Callithrix jacchus: one gene and its partner. The protein of the gene in region 2 interacts with the protein of the main gene of each other region in a biochemical or structural test. Links are inferred from orthologs where the notes say so. Each region holds a gene or a part of one and is shown on either strand. Other genes may lie near its edges.

The links. The genes of interacting proteins can lie anywhere in the genome.
Region 1: the proteins of UBE2D1 (region 2) and BIRC3 form a complex in vitro, tested with the Homo sapiens proteins (5 studies listed by BioGRID). The link is inferred for Callithrix jacchus from reciprocal best matches to the Homo sapiens genes UBE2D1 and BIRC3.

The regions. Positions count from the first base shown.
Region 1 is NC_133511.1:37,294,168-37,297,821, reverse strand, and holds part of BIRC3 (baculoviral IAP repeat-containing protein 3), read left to right. Parts: intron 1-649; coding exon 650-892; intron 893-3,654. UniProt on the Homo sapiens protein: Multi-functional protein which regulates not only caspases and apoptosis, but also modulates inflammatory signaling and immunity, mitogenic kinase signaling and cell proliferation, as well as cell invasion and metastasis.
Region 2 is NC_133513.1:72,171,227-72,174,980, reverse strand, and holds the start of UBE2D1 (ubiquitin-conjugating enzyme E2 D1), read left to right. Parts: upstream 1-1,263; coding exon 1,264-1,287; coding exon of another isoform or gene 1,288-1,569; intron 1,570-3,754. Other genes in the region: uncharacterized protein LOC144578806, read right to left, coding at 913-1,569.

The DNA of each region.
Region 1 (3,654 bases), on a different chromosome or scaffold from region 2:
GCAGGATGCAAATGACTCAGTGGTGAGGGATGAAGCTGAAGAGGTAAACAGGGTTGAGATTGTATGAGATTTTGTAAGCCAATTATATTTTGGATTTTATCCTAAATTAAATTGGAATTGTTGATAGAATTTAAGAAGTGTGACAGAGTTTTTCAAATTTTCAGACAGGTTATTATCATACAATATTGCTTCCTTACAGTTCATTCTCAACAGTTCTGATTGTACTGATCTGATTGTACTGTTGAGAATGAACTGCAAGGAAGCAATATTGTATGATAATAACCTCTCTGAAAATATGTGAAATATTCTTGATTTAGAAAGCTCATTTGTTCATTCAACATAGGGAAAAAGAATCTGAATTCTCGTGGGAGGTAATTCCTGCCACCTCTGTTTCCTTCATCTGTTCACATATGTATATCCAGTTATGACAGGTAATGTGTATTTTGCATCTAAGTACAATATTCCATGTTATTATTTTGATGATTGAACATATATATCATTTTAAATGTAACAGTGTTCCTACAAAATGATGCCTACACATTTTGTTGGTTTTGTGTTTCTAATATTGTAAAAACTTTCCATTTTGATTTCAATTTTTAAGAAATATACAGACTATCCTAATATGTGTTAAATTATTTGTTCCATATAGTTATGCGTTTCGAACCTGGAGAAGATCATGCAGAAGATGCGATCATGATGAATACTCCTGTGGTTAAAGCTGCCCTGGAAATGGGCTTTAGCAGAAGCCTGGTAAAACAGACAGTTCAGAGAAAAATCCTAGCAACTGGAGAGAATTATACACTCATCAGTGATCTTGTGTTAGACCTACTCAATGCAGAAGATGAAATAAGGGAAGAAGAGAAAGAAAGAGCAACTGGGGAAAAAGAATCAAGTATGTAGATTTATTAATACAGTCTCTATTTTCATAAAGATTTGATACTACTCTCTATATTATGGAAAGTATACTCATCTAGTATATATACTGAAAGTATACTCAATCCAATCAGATTTTTTTTGTGTGTTTAGTATTCTGAATTCAAACACTGAAAAATTTCTTTATATTAAAATATATTTGAGTTGCTCATAAATTGAAACTGTATGATGTGCAAAAGTATTTTTTTCTGTTTTCCATATATATATATATATATATATATTTTTTTTTTTTAATTGCATTTTAGGTTTTGGGGTATATGTGCAGATCATGCAAGATAGTTGCATAGGTACACACATGGCAGTGTGCTTTGCTGCCGTCCTCCCCTTCACCCACATTTGGCATTTCTCCCCAGGCTATACCTCCCCCCGTCCCCCCATTGTCCCTCCCCTATTCCCCCCAGTAGACCCCAGTGTGTAGTACTCCCTTCCCTGTGTCCATGTGTTCTCTTTTTTCATCACCTGCCTATGAGTGAGAATATGCGGTATTGCATTTTCTGTTCTTGTGTCAGTTTGCTGAGAATGATGTTCTCCAAATTCATCCATGTCCCTACAAAGGACACAAACTCATCGTTTTTGATTGCTGCATAATATTCCATGGTGTATATGTGCCACATTTTCCCAATCCAGTCTATCGTGGATGGGCTTTTGGGTTGGTTCCAGGTCTTTGCTATTGTAAACAGTGCTGCAATGAACATTCGTGTGCATGTGTCCTTACAGTAGAACAATTTATAGTCCTTTGGATATACACCCAGTAACGGGATTGCAGGGTCAAATGGAATTTCTAATTCTAAGGCCTTGAGGAATCGCCACACTGTCTTCCACAATGGTTGAACTAATTTACACTCCCACCAACAGTGTAAAAGTGTTCCTATTTCTCCACATCCTCTCCGGCATCTGTTGTCTCCAGATTTTTTAATGATCGCCATTCTAACTGGTGTGAGATGGTATCTCAATGTGGTTTTGATTTGCATCTCTCTGATGACCAGTGATGATGAGCATTTTTTTAATGTTTGTTGGCCTCATGTATGTCTTCTTTTGAAAAGCATCTGTTCATATCCTTTGCCCATTTTTGAACGGGCTTGTTTGTTTTCTTCCTGTAAATCTGTTTGAGTTCTTTGTAAATTCTGGATATCAACCCTTTGTCAGATGGGTAGGCTGCAAAAATTTTTCCCCATTCTGTTGGTTGCCAATTCACTCTAGTGACTGTTTCTTTTGCCGTGCAGAAGCTGTGGAGTTTCATTAGGTCCCATTTGTCTATTTTGGCTTTTGTTGCCAATGCTTTTGGTGTTTTGTTCATGAAGTCCTTGCCTACTCCTATGTCCTGAATGGTTTTGCCTAGATTTTCTTCTAGGGTTTTTATGGTGCCAGGTCTTATATTTAAGTATTTAATCCATCTGGAGTTGATTTTCGTGTAAGGTGTCAGGAAGGGGTCCAGTTTCTGCTTTCTGCATATGGTTAGCCAGTTATCCCAACACTATTTATTAAACAGGGAATCCTTTCCGCATTGCTTGTTTTTGTCAGGTTTATCAAATATTGTATGGTTGTAGATATGTTGTGTTGCCTCCAGTGCCTCTGTTCTGTTCCATTGGTCTATATCTCTATTTTGATACCAGTACCATGCTGTTTTGATTACTGTAGCCTTGTAGTATAGTTTGAAGTTCAGTAGTGTGATGCCTCCCGCTGTGTTCTTTTTGCTTAGAATTGACTTGGCTATGTGGGCTCTCTTTTGATTCCATATGAAGTTCATGGTGGTTGTTTCCAGTTCTGTGAAGAAAGTCAATGGTAGCTTGATGGGGATAGCATTGAATCTGTAAATTACTTTGGGCAGTATAGCCATTGTCACGATATTGATTCTTACTAATCATGAACATGGAATGATTCTCCATCTGTGTCCTCTCTTATTTCATTGAGCAGTGGTTTGTAGTTTTCCTTGAAGAGATCTCTTACATTTATTGTAAGTCGTATTCCTAGGTATTTTACTCTTTATGTAGCAATTGTGAATGGCAGTTCATTCTTGATTTGGCTCTCTTTAAGTCTGTTATTGGTGTCTAGGAATGCTTGTGATTTTTGCACATTGATTTTATATCCTGAGACGTTGCTGAAGTTGCTTATCAGTTTCAGGAGTTTTTGGGCTGAGGCGATGGTGTCTTCTAGGTATACTCTCATGTCGTCTGCAAATAGAGACAATTTGGCTTCCACCTTTTCTATTTGAATACCCTTTATTTCTTTTTCTTGCCTGATTGCTCTGGCTAGAACTTCCAGTAGTATACCGAATAGGAATGGTGAAAGAGAGCATTTTTGTCTAGTGCCAGATTTCAAAGGGAATGCTTCCAGTTTTTGCCCATTCAGTATGATATTGGCTGTTGGTTTGTCGTAAATAGCTTTTATTACTTTAAGATATGTTCCATCAATACTGAGTTTATTGAGGGTATTTAGCATAAAGGGCTGTTGAATTTTGTCAAATGCCTTCTCTGCGTCAATTGAGATAATCATGTGGTTTTTGTTTTTGGTTCTGTTTATGTGGTGAATTACATTTATAGACTTGTGTATGTTGAACCAGCCTTGCATCCCCGGGATGAATCCTACTTGATCATGATGGATAAGTTTTTTGATGTGCTGTTGCAATTGGTTTGCCAGTATTTTATTGAAGATTTTTGCATCTATTTTCTTTTTTCTTAGGTCTGGCATTACTGCCTACCTTTCTTTTTTTCCTTTTTTTTT
Region 2 (3,754 bases):
TTGGGTTTTGTTTTGTTTTGAGACGGAGTCTCCCTCTGTCGCCCAGGCTGGAGTGCAGTGGTGTGATTTCCGCTCACTGTAACCTCTGCCTCCCGGGATCAAGTGATTCTCCTGCCTCAGCCTCCCGAGTAGCTGGGACCACAGATGTGCTCCACTACGTCCAGCTAATTTTTGTGTTTTTAGTAGCGATGGGGTTTCATCTTGTTGGCTAGGCCTGTCTTGAACCCATCCTCAGGCAATCTGCCTGCCTCAGCCTCCCAAAGTGTTGGGATTACAGGCTTGAGCCACCGCGCCCGGCAAGAAGCCATGTTTTAGTGGGTACACACGTGCACAGGAATTGGAGAGTGGGGAGTGTGAGTTGACTGTTGAGTAGGGCCTGTGTGTGTGTATGAGTAGGGAAGGAGCCAGTGCGGGGAGTGAGAGCTCAGAACTAGGTATTCGAAGCGGGTATTTATGAAGAGGGGTATACCTACGAGCAGACAATGCACTCAGACAAGAAAGATTTGTGCATTGGACAGAAGAGAGCTACCTGAAACTAATGCTTCTCACAGTGACAGCACTCCCCGCCCGCACACTCGCGCACACCTTTTTCCTCGGCAATAAGAACTAAGGAGGTAAGTAAGGGATCTGATAGATAATCAGTTTGTGCATATGTGCAAGGTGAGAAATTGCGACAATGCATATATTTGAGAAAAAGTGAAATCTTTAAAGGTAAAATAACAAAACCAGCTGTGGCTCCTATTGGATAAGGAATTACTAACTGATAATTTAGAAATGCCTTTAAGTGCGTTAGCAGCTCATTTGTTATCCCCATTTTCCAGATGCGCAGCCCCAGAGTCACGTGCTCTAAATGAGACTGCAAAGACCGATTCCAGCGTCCGGCGGCTCTCACCTGAAGCTGCCCAGCTGAGGTCAGCGGTGAGTAGGTGACCTGCCAGCGCCCGCGGGCCTGCGGCCGAGGACAGGGCTGGAACTACACTTCCCAGTGTGCCAGGCGGGGCGGGGCGCGGCGGGGAGGGCGCAGGCTCCTTCCCAGAAGCAAAAGCGGAAACAAAAGAGTCTCGCCGGCGTCCCCGCCCGCACACTCGCTCTCGGGCGCACACGGAGCAGGGACCGGCGCCCGGAGCGATCCTGGGAGCGGCGAGCCGGAGACCCACTGCGCGGAGCCAGCCGAGCCGCCAGAGCCCAACCCGGGACGACCCGCGCCCCCGAGCCCCGCAGCCGCCCCCCGCCGGCCGGTGTCCCCACCGCCATCCCGGACCCATGGCGCTGAAGCGGATTCAGAAAGTGAGTGCCGAGGCTGGGCCTGGGGCTGCGGGGCGGGCAGCGGCCCCCTGACCCGGCCGGTGGTCCCGAGGGACGTGCGGGGAAAGCACGGGATGGGAGGGTGGGCCGGAGCGCGGGCAGGGAGCCGGAGGCTCGGGCCGGGCCAGCGGGCACCGGACAGGTGAGGTGGGAGCTGGGGCAGGTCCCAGGCGGCCGGAGGAGCTTGGAGGCTGGGGGCCCGCTCTGCGCTCGCGCCGGAGCCGCTCCCGGAGCCCCGGGGTAGAGAGCCTCCTCCGCCTCCATACCGCCCCAAAATCTGTGCTTCACGGTCAGGGCTGGGTTTTGCCCTCCATGGGACTAGTTTTGACCCCTGTCATGCTGTGTTTTCTGCAGGCTGTTTCTTAAGCCTGTCCTTTTTTTTGTTCCTGCTTCTCCGGGCTCCCCGGGAGGGCACGGAAGGTGGGGTGGGCCTGCAGCCTTTCTCCGCGGAGCTGTCAGGGTTGGTTCTTTCTTTCCTTTGCGGTTGGCTCTTGCTCAGTTGCCCAAATGGGCTGGAAAGCTCATTTGCAGCCAAGAAGCCAGGAGAAGGCTCCTGCCCCTTCTATTTTGGTGCCTCTGCTGCTGCCACTTCAGGTCACATAGCTGTAGCGAAAACATAGTTGCTGATACACAACAAGATGACCTCCTGGCTGTGATTCACGGTGAGTCAAGCCAAACAGGTTTTTTTCCCCCTCATGATAAACTTAGATGTAAAGTTCGAGACACAACATAAACTGTCACAAATTAAATTGTTTTGATGCTTTGACACATGAGTATAGAATGAGGAAGAAATGTATATCTTCATCCAACGACTGTTTGGCCATCTCAACCCTGTGTATGGAACTGTCTTCTTTTCACAGTATTTATTGCAACCATTTCAGATGTGAACAGCTTTCGGAATTGAGATTCGGGCATTTCTTTCTGTTCATGTTTATTTCTTGGTGGTCCGTGTACTGACCCAGGTTTTAGGTTTTACAGTTATAGTTCACACTGGAAACGTTGAGAATGTGTTTGTTAAATAGGGAGTGTTTTTCAGCAAGTTAAGCAACAATGAGCAGTGTGTTTTATAGTTGTTTCAGAATACATTGATGCCCACAAAACATTTTTATCCACTTTTTTGACCAGGAGTCAATATAGCAATATATGTGTTAGAGCAGTGACATTGTATTCTGATTCACCACTGGTGGCATCTTTAGGTACAGAGGACAGCAACTTTTAGAGCCTGCTAGTTTTTTGTTTTCAATTTCTGAATCTGTGGTTCACTTATTTTTTTGTGCCATTTAAAGGTCATCTCATTGTAAAACAGTTAACAATCAGCATTTATTAAGTAATGCTGTTTTCTTGTTTGAAGGTAGTACAATTACACATTTTTTTCATATAAATATCCTAATTTTGAAGCCTCAGTCAGCATGTTTACCATACGTTGCATACTTATTAATGATGACATAATATTGGTTCACATTTGGATCAGATAATGCACATCTTCCAAGGAAGTTTTCAGTCTATTTTCTTCTTTCCTAGTTGTGAGAATTTTTCACGTGACTTTGCACACACAAGAGCTTTTTAAATTTTCTTTTTTTCTTTTTTTTAAAGCGATGGGGGTTGGGGAGTCTATGTTGCCTATGCTGGTCTTGAACTCCTGGCCTCCAGAGAGTCTGGAATTACAGGCACAAGTCACCATGCCCAACTAACAATAGCTTTTAAATGCTGTGTAATTTGTCCACAGTAAGTAGATATTCAAAGAAATATGGACAGTGTTTGTAAATACCATGCTTGGCAGTTTTCATCAATCCCGGTGCTGAACTAGTGCATTTGACTTATAATATGGTATGTGTCCATATCTTTTCTTTTTAGCATTGACAGTTATTAGTTTATAGAGTTGTCCAGTAAAAAAAATTATCTACATAGAATTGATATCAAACGTGATGAATTGATATTTTGGAGAAGAAATTGGGGGTCATATACCATCACATCTCTATGTGTTCATCTTTCTGATACCAGGCAAGTTGACTTAGACAAATCTTTCCATTAATCACATATTCAGACCATTCCCTCAAACCTGAGGGGTGATTATTTTGATTGATTCCATACTTTTCCTCCTCCTTTACCTACCTCCTTGATTAGAAGCCAATTCCAGGTTGGATGTGCTACCTGCCATATGAACAGTTACATAATCTTTTTTGATGCCATCAGTATACAAATTCTTATTTGGATCTTGCATGTTCCAGCAAATGAAGATGTATACTAACTTTTGGCCTTTCTTCTTAAGCTCAATGAAATATTATTATAATTTTCCTCTACCTAAAGTGGCAGGCCGTAGAGCTGTGTGGAACCTCAGATAAGTTTGCAGTAGTGTAGTAGAGCATACCAGCAGGGGAACAACTTCTAGGGCAGTGTCTCAGATTCTTCTGTGGGATGTTTTCTCAGACTATCATCACTTCTGTAAATG